Caenorhabditis elegans: one gene and its partner. The protein of the gene in region 2 purifies or fractionates together with the protein of the main gene of each other region. This does not show direct contact. Each region holds a gene or a part of one and is shown on either strand. Other genes may lie near its edges.

Region 1 (9,462 bases), on a different chromosome or scaffold from region 2:
TATCGATTTTTTTTCGATAATTATCGACTTTTCGGGTAATTATCGATTTTCCCGATAATTATCGATTTTTCCGGTAATTATCGATTTTTTCCGATAATTATCGATTTTTCCGATAATAATCGACTTTTCCGATAGTTATCGATTTTTCCGATAATTATCGATTTTTTTCGATAATTATCGACTTTTCGGGTAATTATCGATTTTTTCCGATAATTATCGATTTTTCCGATAATAATCGACTTTTCCGATAGTTATCGATTTTTCCGATAATTATCGATTTTTTTTCGATAATTATCGACTTTTCGGGTAATTATCGATTTTCCCGATAATTATCGATTTTTCCGGTAATTATCGATTTTTTCCGATAATTATCGATTTTTCCGATAATAATCGACTTTTCCGATAGTTATCGATTTTTCCGATAATTATCGATTTTTTTCGATAATTATCGACTTTTCGGGTAATTATCGATTTTTTTCCGGAAATCATGAATTTTTCCAATAATTATCAATTTTTTCCGATAATTATCAATTTTTCCGATAATTATCGATTTTTCGGATAATTATCGATTTTTTCCGATAATTATCGATTTTCCCGATAATTATCGATTTTTCCGGTAATTATCGATTTTTTCCGATAATTATCGATTTTTCCGATAATAATCGACTTTTCCGATAGTTATCGATTTTTCCGATAATTATCGATTTTTTTTCGATAATTATCGACTTTTCGGGTAATTATCGATTTTCCCGATAATTATCGATTTTTCCGGTAATTATCGATTTTTTCCGATAATTATCGATTTTTCCGATAATAATCGACTTTTCCGATAGTTATCGATTTTTCCGATAATTATCGATTTTTTTCGATAATTATCGACTTTTCGGGTAATTATCGATTTTTTTCCGGAAATCATGAATTTTTCCAATAATTATCAATTTTTTCCGATAATTATCAATTTTTCCGATAATTATCGTTTTTCCCGATAATTATCGATTTTTCCGATAATTATCGATTTTTCGGATAATTATCGATTTTTCCGATAATTATCGATTTTTCCGATAATTATCGATTTTTCCGATATTTTTTTTCGGAAATGGCTGCCCCATCGCGGTTTGATCTACAAAAAATGCGGGAATTTTTAGCCCAAAAACATGTGACGTCAGCACGTTCTTAACCATACGAAATCAGTTGAGAACTCTGCCGCATTTTTTGTAGATCTACGTAGATCAAGCCGCAATGAGACACTCTGGCACCAAGTGTCTGTAATTGACTTCACGGAAGAAAATATATTTTTATTTAATGCGCAAAACTAAAATTCAAAATTTCGTTTCGACCAATACACCATATTTTAAGCGCAAATTTCAATTCAAATTTTTGCAGCAACCTTTGCCTATTCAATGTATCCCCGCTCAATGACAGTATCCCCCGATGGAAAGGAACGAGTAAAGGTGCCAACAATCATCGGTCACTTCAACGATAAGAAAACCGAGAAGCTGAACGTGACCGAGTACCGTGACATCATCAAAAAAGAAATTCTACTTTATGGTCCCACCACGATGGCGTTCCCAGTTCCCGAAGAATTCCTTCATTATTCGAGCGGAGTGTTCCGCCCGTATCCAACTGATGGTTTCGACGATCGAATTGTGTATTGGCACGTGGTTCGATTGATCGGATGGGGAGAATCAGATGATGGAACACATTATTGGTTGGCTGTTAATAGTTTTGGTAACCATTGGGGTGATAATGGTGAGTTTTCGTGCAAATTGCGCACGGCCCGGCAAATGGTACATCCATACAAATGCGCTCCACTGATAATTTGAGTTTAGCCAGGTTTGGGCGCGTTTTAAGGAAAACGCCTTGGTCCAAAAAATTTAGAATTTGATTTCGGACATTTTTTATATGCATCACAAAAATGTTGGACGAGCCGTTTTTGAGAAAAAGCCCAGGTATACGGTAAACAAATTGCGTACAGGTGCCACTTCCCGGGCCGTGATGCGCGTTAAATATAGTGCTTTTTAAGAATGCGTGTTGCGCAACATATTTGACGCGCAAAATATCTCGTAGCGAAAACTACAGTAATTTTTCAAATGACTACTGCAGCGTTTATGTCGATTTACGGGCTCGAAAAAAAAGTTACAGCGATATTCCATTTTTTCTCATTTTTTGCTTATTTTTATTTAGTATTCTCACGGTGTGTCATTCTGTCCCATAACGGTTTGATCTACAAAAAATGCGGGAATTTTTCGCCCAGAAAAATGTGACGTCAGCACGCCCCTAACCATACGAAATTTGTTGAGAAATCTGCGTATAAATTCCCGCATTTTTTGTAGATCACGCCGAAGTGAGACACTTTGACACCACGTGTATTCTATCTAAAAATAAATTATTTCAAAAATAGAGCCCGAAAAAAAAAATCGACAAAAGCGCTACAGTAGTCATTTAAAGAATTACTGTAGTTTTCGCTACGAGATATATTGATATTTTGCGCGTCAAATATGTTGCGCAGTACGCATTCTTAGAATTTTGTGTTGCCGTAAATAAATTTGGACGTCAAATACAGTGCATATTGCGGTCGATCGGCTACAATATATTTTGCGAGCAAATTTGGAAGTTTTGCGCGTCAAATATGATGTAGCCGATCGGTCATGTTACAAAACACCATATTTGACGCGCAAAACTTTAATTTTGGACAAAAAGTCAGAGAATTAGTATTGCGTAAAAAACTGGCAATTTTTTTCAGAACATTTCTGAAATTTTCAATATATTTTCAAACTTTTCGCGTCAAATATGGTGCATCAAGTCGCGAACCAAATACACTCTAACACGTAGTGCCAGGCTGTCCCATTATAGTTTGACCTACAAAAACGCGGGAATTTTTCGCCCAAAAAAATGTGACGTCAGCACGTTCTTAACCATGCAAAATCAGTTGAGAACTCTGCGTCTCCTCTTCTCCCGCATTTTTTGTAGATCAACGTGATTCAGGCCGAAATGTGACACTCTGACACCACGTGGCCCTAATTAACTCGTAAAAATCACCGTTTTTTTTCCAGGACTCTTCAAAATCAACACAGATGACATGGAAAAATATGGTCTAGAGTATGAAACAGCAGTCGTCTAATTATAATTCGGCAAAAATTTTTTGTAAATAGTTAAATATTGTCCACCTATTTCATCCCCACCCGATTGCATCTCAACTTGTCCCATTTCCGAGAAAAATCAATTATTTATTTTTATTCGGCCATCATTTATTAGCTCCCTCATTCCATAGTTTTTTTTTAATTAGATTTTTTTTGGATGCTAAAATTTGCCATTCTCATAGACATTTTCAATATTTGTGTAAAATAAATCATTTTTCTGGTCTTCAATTGATGGAAAAAAACAAAAAAACAATGCGCGTCAGGTTTGGTGTATTGTGTGCAAACACCGAGCGCATATTTTGAAATTTATTTTTTTTTCGAATTTATTAAAGTTGCTGATTTTCTTTAATTTCAGGCTTAAAAATGTCGGATTTTGTGCCAGAAACCGAGGAAAATGAAGAAGAATCTCAAAAAATCGATGAAATCCATGAAATCCCAGCTCAAGCAATTATCATCGACCAAAGTGAGGAAAATGCTGACTTTATCAATTTTCAATTACTTTTTGCATTTTTTCTAGGTTTTTCTCGACGATTTCTCAACAATAAATGGTACGGAAAGTACGGCGAAGATGGGGATCTTCTGGAGCACATCGACGAGGACTGGGAGCCCGTAGGCCTCGACGAAGTGGAATTTCTGAGCCAACTGTGGTTTGAGCAGGAGGATCAGGAGAAAAAAGCTCATAGGCACTATGATTGGGATGAAGAAAAGAAGGAATGGGTGCCGAAGGCCAAGCAGGAGGAGGTCAATGAGGATTTTATCGCAGAATATCAAGCGAATTACGGGGTTCAGTATGATGATATTTATAAAAAAATGGACGAAGAATTGCAAGAAAAAGCGGCAAAAGCTCAAAAAGAAGATGAAGAGAAGAAGGAGAAGAAGCGGAAGAAAAAAGTTGGCTTGGGAGCCGGGGAAGACGCTAAAGAGGGCTGGCTTGACCTAGGAGATAAGGTTCATGCGGTTTATGTGTCAAATCTTCCGGAAGATATTACAGACGAGGAATTCCAGAAATTTATGTCAAAATGTGGAGTTATTCAGCCGGATATTCGAACGAATAAGCCGAAATGCAAGCTTTACCGGGAGGAAAACGGCAAACTCAAAGGCGACGGAAGATGTTGTTATATTAAGAAGGAATCTGTCGAGCTTGCCTGTAACATTCTCGATGGAGCGAACTTAAACGGGCGGGAAGTGAAGGTTGAGGAAGCTCGATTTGAGATGAAGGGCGATTTTGATCCGGCGAGGAAGCGGCGGAAATTGACTGCGGCGCAGAAAAAACGATATATGGAGCAGCAGAATAAGTAATAAAAAATATTTGGTGAAATTTGAAATAGCTCGTAAATCGACATTAAGCTGAAAAAATGAAAAAAAACCAAAAAAAATCGTATTACGGGAACACAAAATCCTGAGAATGCGTACTGCACAACATTTTTTTTTTTTTTGACGCGCAAAATATCTCGTAGCGAAAACTAAGACTACTGTAGCACTTGTGTCGATTTACGGGCTGCTCGATTTTCGAAATGAATTAAAAGAATTTATTTATGTGATATTGAAATTGGGCAAAAAATAGGAAAATAATACAAAAAAATCTAAAAAATTTATTTCAATAATCGAGCCCCCGTAAATCGACACAAGCGCTACAGTAGTCATTTAAAGAGTAGTTTTCGCTACGAGATATTTTGCGCGTCAAATATGTTGTGCAATACGCATTCTCAGAATATTGTGTTCCCATAATATATCGACGAAAAAATTGGCCCAAATCGTGGATTTTTGTCCGAATTTGATGACAAATGGCTTTGAAAATCACAAAATTTCAGAGAAAAATTTCGATTTTTGGTTTAAAAAAACAAAAATTGAAACCCAACAAAATTGTTAACTTGAAAACCTGCTGAAAATCTTAGAATTTTCAGATTTCACCCAAAAAATACCAGATTTAACTCGAAAATTGCGAATTTTAGGCCAAATTCCTTGCATTTTTCATAGAAAAGATAAACTAACGACACAAAATCAAATGAAATTGACTAAAAAACTATTGAATTTTGTAGAAAAATCCCGATTTTTGCCTAAATTTGCAAAAAAAATATTTTATTTTAGCATTTATTTTTCTTAATTTTCACACTAAAAATTACGAAAAAAGACAAAAAAAATTTTTTTCATTCAACAATTTTTTGGGCTAAAATGTGTAATTTTTGCGGGAAGAATTCGAAAAATTATTAAAAATCGTAGAGACTAACTGAAAATCAATTTTTTAGGGACCAAAAAGCCAACTTTTGCCGATTTTACTCAAATTTTTCCGTGAAAAATCCGGAATTTTTAAATATTATTTAATTGCGAAATTTTACAATTTTTACACCTAAAATAAGGGTAATATGGTAGCTGGTCTCGACACGACAATTTTTTTGTTAAATTCTAAAAAAGGTGTGCGCCTTTAAAGAGTACTGTAATTTCAAACTTTATGGAATTTTTTTTTGATTTTTCAAATAAACTACGAAAAATCGAAGAAAATTCCACAAAGTTTGAAATTACAGTACTATTTAAAGGCGCATACCTTCTAGAATTTTACAAAAAATTTGTCGTGTCGTGACCGGCGACCGTATTACCCTAATTTTTGGTGTAAAAATCGTAAACTGTCCGGATTTTTCACTACGAAATTCAAATTCGAGGAAAATCGAAAAAAATTGGTTGTTTTGGTTCCTAAAAAATATATTTTCAGTTATTTTCTACCATTTTTTAATAATTTCTCGAATTTTTCCCTCAAAAATTACAAATTTCAACCAAAAATTCTGATTTTTCCTTTCCAGAATCTTCGAATGGACGCCCGATAAGCCACGTAACTACCGTCCAAAGTCGGACTGTACGGTTATTGTCAAAAATCTGTTCACTCAGGAAATGATGAACAAGAATGCGGCGTTGATGTTGGATTTGAAAGAGGAAATGACACAAAGTTGTCAGAAATATGGAATTGTTAAGAAAGTCGTCGTTTATGCGGTTGGTATTGAGGAAATTTGTGGAAATTTCGATTTTTGTAAAAAAAATTTATTCTAAAAAAATAAATTAAAAAAAAAAGATTTAAAAAATTTAAAGCTAATTTTCGAAAAATTGAAGCTAATTTTGGAAAAAAAACCGAAAATTTTTTTTTTTAGAAATGTCGATATTCATAAAAAAATATTCTAAAAACGGGATCAAAAATTTTTGAAGCTATTTGTCGGAAAAATTTTTAAAAATGTAAAGCTAATTTTCGAAAAAAAACCCAAAATTATTGGATTTAACAAATTTTCAAAAAAATTGTTCTAAAAAAGATAACCTTTAACATTAAAAAAATTATGGCTATTTTTCGAAAAATTAAAAAAAAACAATTTTTAGCTAATTTTCGAAAAAAAACCGAAAATTTGTGGAAATTTCGATTTTCAAAAAAAATTTATTCTAAAAAAAAATAAATTTTTAACATTAAAAAATGGCTATTTTTCGAAAAAACCGAAAATTTTTGGAAATTTCGATTTTCGAAAAAAAAGTATTTTAAAAAAACAATGAGAAATGGTTATAAATTGTTCTTTCAAAAATTTTTTACAGCTTTTTTTTTCGAGAAATTTAAAAAAAAAACAATTTTTAGCTAATTTTAAAAAAAGTAAAGCTAATTTTCAAAAAGAACCCCAAAATTGATGCATTTATCGATTTTTAAAATAAATTGTTCAAAAAAAGATAAATTTAAAAAAAAAGTTATTGGATTTTTTAAAGTTATTGGATTTTTCAATTTTCAAAAAAAAATCATCAAAATGTATAAATAAATAAAAACTATGGATTTCGAAAAATTAAAAAAAACAATTTTTAGCTAATTTACGGAATTAAAACAACAAAAAATTTCGGAAAATCGAAAATTGTTGGTTTTTTTTTTCGATTAAAAAAATTCAAAATCTTCTGAAAGACATTTTTAAAATTTCCAAAAAAAAATTATGAGTATTTTTCAAAAAACAAATCGAATTTTGATTAACTTCCGATTTTTTTGACATTTTTTGAAATTTGAAAATCATTAATTCAAAAATTTTTATTGAAATAATTCAAAAATTTTTATTGAAAAAAAACGAAAATTTTTGATTTTCGCTTGAATATTTCGGAAAAAACAATCGATTAAAAAAAAAATAGGCTTCTAGTTATTTTTCAAGAATGCTTTTTTTTTGACAAACTGCTGATTTTTTGTCAGTTTCGTCGATTTTCGTTGTAAAAAATCAAAAATTCAAAATTTCTTCTATTACGAGTGCACAAAATGCTGAGAATGCGTATTGCACAACATATTTGACGCGCAAAATATCTCGTAGTGAAAACTACAGTAATTCTTTAAGTGTCTACTGTAGCGTTTTCGGAAAAATTCCACTTTTTTTATTTAAAAAAAAAAACGAAATATTTTGATTTTTTTTTATTAAAAAAAACGAAAAATTTTGATTTTTTATTAAAAAAAACGAAATATTTTGATTTTTTATTTAAAAATGAAAAATTTTGATTTTCCAAAAAAAAAGGCTCCTAATTAAAAAAAAAAAATTTTTTTGAAAAAGTGCAGATTTTTGTCTTAAAATTTAAATCAAAAATTTTTAAATAGACTTTTTCCATCAAATTTCCCCAATTTTCAGAACCACCCGGACGGCGTCGTATCGGTAACCTTTCCAACGACAGAAGAATCGGATATGGCTGTAAAATATCTTCACGGACGAGTAGTTGACGGTCGGAAATTGACAGCCGAGCTCTGGGATGGCCGGACAAAGTTTAAGGTCGAGGAGACGGAAGAGGATGAGGAGAAGCGTCGGAAAGAGTACGAGAAGTATATTGAGGGTGGAAGTAGTGAGACGAAGGAGGAGAGCGACGACGATGATGACGATGAAGCTGAAGATAATTGATTGATCTAAATTTTTTCTGAAAAATTATTTTTAGTTTATACATTTTTCCGAGAGGAGCAACCGATCAATTTTTACCAAAACTATGTTCAAAATCGCCCAAAAATATCAAATTTAGTGAATTTTCGTTTTCATGGATTTTTCGAAAATTAGCTTTAAAAATGTTTGCCAAATTTTTCGACGATATCGCGATATTTTAAAAATTTCGAACAAAAATTGCCTAATTTCAATTAAAATCCCTTTTTTCGAAATTTTCTAATTTTCTGGGCCAATTGGGTCGTTTAAAAAGAAAAATGGCCAAAATTTGAGAGTTTTAAAAAAATTCTAAAATTTCAATCCTACGATTTTCCGGGAAAAAAATTTTCTTGGAAAATTGCTTTTTTTTTGAAAAATTATTTTTAGTTTATACATTTTTTTTCCGAAAATAGGAACAACCTATCAATTGAAATTTTCAAAAAAAAATTAATTAAATTTGGAAGCATTTTCCGAAAAATTGCATGTTTTCGGTTTTCTAGAAAAAAAAAACTAAAAGAACGAAAAATTTCACCAAAAATCAAATATGAAAATACTTTCCTAAAAATCTGAAAAAACCAGAAATTTTCAATTTTCCCTATTCAAAAAAATTCAAAAAAAAAACCAAATTTCAGTTAAAATCCCTTTTTTCGAAAATTTTAAAATTTTCTGCGCCATTGTGTCGTTGATTTGAAATTTTTTTCTAAAAATCCGTGAATTTTTGAAATTAAACAAAAAATTTGAAAAATCAAAAATTATCGATTTTTCAACGAAAAAAATTCAAAAATTTCAATCTTACGATTTTCCTAACTAAAAAAAAATTTGAAGTAACGAAAATGTTCAATTTTTTCGAAAATTTTCGAGGTCATTTAGAGTTTTTTCTGTGAAAATTGCATTTTATATACTCATTTAAATTAATTTTTATATATTCCTTTCCCGAAAACTTCAAAAAAAAAACCCAGTGATACAATTAAAATCGAGATAATCACAGACAAAGTAGGCAGTAGGCAGGCAAAAAACAGGCACATATTAAGGTAATACAAAATTCTGATAATGCGTACATCGCAACACATTTGACGCGCAAAATATCTCGTAGCGAAAACTACAGTAATTCGTTAAATGGATACTGTAGCGCGCTAGTGTCGATTTACGGGAATCTTAAAGAACCTAAAGAATTGTAGGAAAAATGGAGATCCCGTAAATCGACACTAGCACGCTACAGTATCCATTTAAAGAATTACTGTAGTTTTCGCTACGAGATATTTTGCGCGTCAAATATGTTGTTCAATACGCAATTTTAAAATTTCGTGGTCTCATAATAATACACAATTAACTAGTAAATCTACAAAATCTACAAAATTCTCTTCATCAACTCTTCCACAGCTCGATCGACCTGTGCATGAGTCTCCTCGTACGCCCACAGAGAGCACAAC
Region 2 (6,693 bases):
AAAAAGAAGAACATTTTGTTTTGATTTTTGAAATATGCGCCCTGTGTCTGAGACAAATTATGGCTTCCGTTTTGAATTATTAACAGGAACGAGAAATCTTGAATTTGGAAGCAATTTTTTAGAGAAAAAACAGGCAGATACGTGGCCGCGAAGCACAAAAATCTATGACCGAGTTTTTCAGAATTTTATTAGTCTCGTTCTAAATGTTCTTACAAGAACTTCTCGTGAAGAGGATTTAAGAGAAAGTACAAAAAAATGTTTCGGAGTGGTCGTATATTTCTTGCTGAAAATTTTCGTAGTTTGATTGCATTTGCCTAGAATTACTAGAGACACTAGACAACAAATGATTTCCAAAAAATTAGAGACAACCCCGTCTGAAAAAATTAGGCCGGAATTTTTCTAAAAAAAAATAAAACCCCAATTTTATCCATATTAAACACTGAATGAACTCGTTTTAGTAACTTTAACAATCATTTTATTATTTAAAAAAAAATGATCTAGATGAGACATCACGGGGCGTCCCCGGCGCCCATCTTGCCTCCCGATGTTTAATTCGTCCTGAGGTTTTTTAATTGTCAAAATAATACCACATGAGCTTTTGCCCAGAAAGTGCTTTATTCAGAAATAGATTCTAGAACACCAACTCGTAAACTTTCCGTGACTTCTTATAAAATGATCCTGCAAGAAAAAAAACGGAAGAAGTGTCATTTTCTGTCTCCTTAAACTTCATATCCATAACTTCATCAAATTTCATGCACATGCATAAATTTGCAAGTATGCGCGGGAAAAAATAACTCTTCGTCTCCTCTCACAAGAAAAATGTATCATCTATCCCCACTCCGTATCGAATGACTAGGGAAAAAATGAGACTGCTCAAAATGATGCAATTGGCGGTGAGCTTGTCTCGGGGCAGAGCACATGAGAAAAAGGTCTTGTGTCTTTTCTTTTTTCCCCTTATTTCGGATTATGCTCGTAGTGTGTGTGTGTGTGCGATAGGATCGGAAACCGATTCACGGGTAGAAAAAAAGGAATGAGATACTAATTGAGTCGATCGGAGATCATTCTTTTTTTGAACAAAAGAAATACACTTAAAGTTCAAAGAATAACCCTTTTCGATATGAAGACGTCAGAATACTGAATATGAATTCGTAATTTCCATATTTATTCCTATTGCCAATTTATGGCTTTAAGTCGTTCAAGTAGGGTGTCCTAGAGGCTTTACTACTGGAAAAGTACGAAGGCAGGCATCCAGTGACTGTTTTATATACCTGAAGACGACCTACAATAGGGCAGAGTAAAACATCATTGGACAATTCGGAGAGCTGCAAAATCACAACACTTTCAGAAAAAAACCAAAGCCAGTCGATGGTTCCTGAACAAAAAGGGTAAAGTTATATAGCAACTTCTGCCAGGGTGGCTATATTCTGCCTACCTACTTGCCTGCACTATATTTTCTGTTATTTTCAGCGGTATAGACTCGATACGTTTGATCTGTGCTGAATTTATGTCCTAAAAGACGTACATTGTCTGGCTACAATATGCTCTGACGCTTGGGCTCATTTTTCTCCGAAACGGGTGGTTCAGTTTTTGTAAAATCAAATGACAGTAACCATAAAAAAGATCCTAATTTTGTAGAGTCATTATTGTTGTTCGGTTGAGCACATTTGTACTGTTTGGATGCACCATGTTTAGCTCACAAAATTATTAGAATTTAATTCTCTAGAAAAACTGCGATAATTTGTAATTTGTTTTCCAGAATATCGAACTTTAGGAATACCACAGGATTCCAGATTCTGACATTTAGATTTCCCCTTTTCAACTTGTTTGCGTGTACACATAAATTAGAATTTTCTCATTGGCTTAAGTCGATGACGATGTCCATCGCCGTTAATCCATGAATAATTCTGCAAATTTCCTCTTTTTGCTTGACTTTTGATTTATTTTTTCCTTCTTCCGACAAAAAACAAAAAATTGAAAAAAAAATTAGGAAAAATATTTGTTGGGGGAAATTGTAAAGAGAAAATGAAAAATACATGTGTCTTTTTACAATTTTCAACTTCCATTCATTTTTCTTCCATCTCATCCATCTGATTTTATGTCATTTCTTCTCGTGTTCTTACATGAGAAAATAGTTGGCAAATTAAAAGAGATTTAGAGAAATCAAAAGAAAAAAAGAGTTCTCGAGAGGATGTCAAAAACAACTGAAGTCAGAACAATATGATATTCTATTATGAGAAGAAAAAGAAGAAGAACACATATAACTCGAGAGAACACAAAAAAAACATACACAAAAGAAGAAAGAAAACTCATCAAGAAGCAGAATTTTTCAGACAAAAAATAAATAAATTGATCTCTGTTTTAACACCAATTGGGATTTTTAATTTGCAAACCGGAAACAAAATAGCTTCTTAATGTGAAGATCGGAAATTTGAAAATTTGTGTAGAATTGATATTTATTACCATGTGACTAGGAAAACCCCCTTATTGTCAGCAGAACAATTTTATTACTTTTAAACTTGAATTACAATAACCCATTGGTTAGAATTTTAAGGATCGAAAATATTTTTCCATGACATAATAAAGTTCAGAAAGCACACTTGAACCCAATCAGACTTCCACCCACATTACCAAAAAAAAAGTCCAAAAAAAGAATGAAAAGTATTCTATTTCCAGGAACACAATCAGAAGCGTGTGAAACGTGTCGTCGTATTCGTTTCAATTGGAATGACACTAATCGCATTAGCTCTTGTTGCTTTCTCGTTAGCATTGGGAAGGAAGATTGATCTGATGGGTACGTTGAACTTTTCTACTGAGCTATCAGAAAATATTCTCCCATTTCTAAATCTAAAATCTCCTTTTTCGAAAAGTTTCCCGTTTGACCTATTTTTTAAAATATGCCTACCTACCTATATCTCCGGCGATCTATTTGCCTTGTTAAACACTCATACATTAAGTTAACTAATAAATCGTCTTACAATGCAGACAATAGGCAGGTATGTAGGCAGTAGAACTCTAGAATTTTTGTTTTGTTGTTATATTCCATATCTGAAGAGCATTTCAAATTTCTTTTTGATTTTTCAAACTGCATAAATGACGTGATTTGAAGTGGCTTTTCACAGAGCATTTTATGCTCAAGTGGGAAAAGATGAAATATCGAGATGATGATGATGCCTGACGTCAAGATGGGGTTATTTATTGGATTGGAAGCAAGAAAAAAAAAGTTTGCGCTTCATAACTCTTAGTTCCTTATGATGCCCTCAGCTGGGAATCTTAAATAAGGGAATGTCTTGAAACTAAAAACCGAAATTTTATACTTAAAAATATTTTTTTCAGTTGAACAAAAAGTGGAGGAACGAATGGTAATCTACTCGGTGCATGGAATTGAGCTCACTGAAACGAGGAGTTGAACATTTCAAATTGTTTTGTTGCACATATTTCTCATGTTAAACCATTTCGGGTTAATTTTATTCCTGTTTTGTGTATATATTGATATGATAAACAACTTTAAAACGAACTGCAGTGTACATTAACATGGTTATAAAATGCTATTGATATGAGAAGTTTTTTTTGTTATCAGTCAAGCCGAAATTTCGAAACTAAAAAGCATCATAGCAACGTGAACTTCCAAAAAAAAACATTTAAAAAAAACGAAAAAAACAAAATTAAAACTCAGTTCCAATTTGTGTTTATGTATTGAACACAATTATCACCGATTTACTTCATTTTTAAACATCATCCACTTAAATTGGTATAGTTATGCTAGAAGACAAAGGTGAGTTATCTATAAAAGAAGTTTTGAAATGCCTTCCAATTTCAGAAAAAAGTCCTGCAAACTGGGCTGCCTGGTGCTTCGGACTCATCTTGGTTGTGCTCATTTTGATAGTCACTGGATACATGTTTGTGGTGTATCTGAGATCTCAACGAAAGAAAAATCAGTTGGCTGATGAGACTGGAGGGATTGAGATTGAAAATAGTATTCGTGATCCGGTGGTTATTAATAACTCATTGGCTTCTAGAAGTTGTTCGGAAAACAAGGTATGCCAGGTTTCTCTATGTATTTTGTTGTGGTGCTACTTCAAATAAAGATCAAACTAAATGGCGTAATTTCCCAGCTTCTCACTCCAGCATATTGCCAATTCTCTGCTGCTTCTTCTTAGTTACAGAAATCTGTCAATCTTAGATTTATCCTCTAACTTTCAGGTCAAAAAACAATCGCCTGAATCAACGGAACAAGACGATTTTTCCAAGACGACTGTTGATGAGACCATCAAGGAAAAATCTGAGAAGCAGCCGAAGACTTGTGCACAAAAGCCGAAAGTTCCCATTCCCAAAGCTTCCACGCCAAAAACTGAAAAATTGGTATCCAAGGAGCCAAGTACGGAAGAATTATCGGTAAAGAATAGCCTAACGGATTTGAAAAATGAAGCAACAAAAATGGCAAACACTTCTTCTTCTGCAAATAGAACAGGAGAGATTTCTGTCGAAATCGTTTCTCCGAGTAAGTATTTCCAATGTCTTCTGCCAACTCATAATTTAATTCCAGAGCCAACCACCGCAGTTCAAGCTTCAACTCCTGAAAAACCAATGTCAAGTGCAGAATCTGCGATGGAATCCTCGATTGGAAGTGATATTTCGACTTACATAGTCTCATCAAAGCGAAGTGAAGTGAATAATTACAACATGATAGGTATTCACTGATTCATTTCCAGAAAAAAAAACTAATTTAAAACATTTCAGAAGCTGGTCGAACTCCGCCAATGTCATTTAGTGAATCATATGCTCAAACTGCTATCCCTACAGCAAACACTCCTCCAACTGTGGTTCATGTCTCGAAACCATCTTCTGAAACATCCGTGTCAATTCCACCATCTTCTGCAGTCAAAAAGTAACTCAAATTGTTTGTGTATTAAGAATAAAATGAATTATGTGCAATTTCTATAACACATTACCAAATAAAAAATTCAATTGGGTAAAAAACTGTTCTTCCTTTTCGCATTCAGAATAGATTTTATTGTTTTCTGAATTCAGACTCAATCATCACACTGGTAAGGAGTTTATTTCATTTAAATAAAATTTTTCATAAATTTCTGTCGTATCAAGTGTAAGTAAGTAATAAGTAGTATATTGGCAAAATGGACAATAGAGATGGAATAAGAGTAGGTCAACAAATAAGGCCAGATGGTGATATCTTCCTATTTAAATGTACTAAAGGTTCCGGGAAAGAGCTCAAATACTTTCCTGGTAAGAATCGATTCTAAATTAGCAGTCTTTTCTTGCGCACCGAGAATAAGGCCAACAGAGTAACAACCACTAGCCAATTCATCCATCTTGTACCATTTGTTTTGTAGCTCCAAAATGATTGTCCCATTTTTTCCTATTCTTTCTCTACCTGAATATTCTTTAGAAAAAGTGCTGAAACATATGGATCTATTGGGAAAGTAAGTTTTATAGTGTTTTTTGTTCCTATTATATATTAAATGTTTTGCAGATTGATGTTGTCAGCAGTTTCCAATAAAATGAAGAATTTTATTCGATCGTGCAAAGTAATAAAAATAAAAACATAGGTTCATGTAGGTGTTAGATTTTTGATTGATTTGTCAGGCTATTTCACATTCTGCCTTTGTGGCAATGGTAGTTTCGAAATAAAATGGCTGGATTCAAATTACAAACAATGTACGAAAGATTGGAAATTAGAAGGATTCAGTGCAATAAGTTTTCTTGGTCACATTTTGTTTGTGTCCAACAAGACTGAAGTGGATCGTATTGATGTTACCAAAGGATGGGTAATGCTCGAGTTTATGGAAGAGTTTTTAAACGAATTGAATGTTTCATTGTTTGCTGTCCATAATATCGCCAACAAAAATCTAGTTTATAAGTTTTATTATCCAAAATACACAACCTAAAAAACACACTCGAGCAAAAAAAAAACAATCACATATATTTAACTCTTTCTATTGTTTCCAACTGCCTCTGCCAACTTGTCCAATTCGGAACGCCACACAGATTTCCAATCTGCAGATTCAGCTGCTTCAAGCTCAGTTCTCCGTCGTGATTTTCGTTCTTCCAATCTTTTCATTTCATCAGAAGTTAGTCGTGAGACCGGCATTTCAAGAAGGTATCCGTAGTTTGCCTGAAAATTCAGATATTGAAAGTCTTCATAATTGATTAAATTTACTTTTTTGGAGTTCTTAGCAATAGTTGCCATAGGATCAACTCTGAAACCCATTTCCTGAAGTTTTTCTTCCAATTGATTACGTCCCATTGATCGTATCTCAATAGTTCCATTGGTCACCATTTCGATGAAATTGAGCTGAAATTTTCTGATTTCAGATTTCTTTTAGATATTTGAAAACGATACCTGATTTTCAACATATATCAGTTTTGCTTCACATTCCTCTTTTTGAATTTTCAGCCGTTTTTCATAAAGATCTCTGCGAACTTCAAAAAATTCGGCAGCGATTTCCGAAATATTTCCGAATTCTTTCAATTCTCCATTTCTATCAAACAACACTCGATTTTCTGTTAAGCTTGTCCGAAGTTTGAAATAATTCAGAAGATCCGAGTTGCTCTTTTGTAGAAATCGTGACGATTTCTTTCTGTCAAGAGTTATTCGAAAATGTACTCGTTTTTCGGTATGCCGTTCGGAAAACTCTAAAACTGGTAATGTCTCCACAATTTTCGACAGCTTCTCCT

The links.
Region 1: the proteins of ZK353.4 (region 2) and cus-2 fractionate together in Caenorhabditis elegans (co-fractionation; one large-scale study listed by BioGRID). This does not show direct contact.

The regions. Positions count from the first base shown.
Region 1 is NC_003279.8:650,625-660,086, forward strand, and holds cus-2 (17S U2 SnRNP complex component HTATSF1), read left to right. Parts: upstream 1-3,465; 5' UTR 3,466-3,503; coding exon 3,504-3,603; intron 3,604-3,657; coding exon 3,658-4,435; intron 4,436-5,935; coding exon 5,936-6,122; intron 6,123-7,756; coding exon 7,757-8,020; 3' UTR 8,021-8,962; downstream 8,963-9,462. Other genes in the region: Y65B4A.2 (Peptidase C1A papain C-terminal domain-containing protein), read left to right, coding at 1,384-1,749, 3,054-3,121; Y65B4A.8 (Cytidyltransferase-like domain-containing protein), read right to left, coding at 9,381-9,462.
Region 2 is NC_003281.10:8,386,703-8,393,395, reverse strand, and holds ZK353.4 (uncharacterized protein), read left to right. Parts: upstream 1-3,756; coding exon 3,757-4,035; intron 4,036-4,200; coding exon 4,201-4,498; intron 4,499-4,543; coding exon 4,544-4,687; intron 4,688-4,737; coding exon 4,738-4,889; 3' UTR 4,890-4,930; downstream 4,931-6,693. Other genes in the region: ZK353.10 (Cell division protein FtsL), read left to right, coding at 2,674-2,791, 3,334-3,407; R05D3.12 (Putative DNA topoisomerase 2, mitochondrial), read right to left, coding at 5,942-6,130, 6,176-6,310, 6,359-6,693.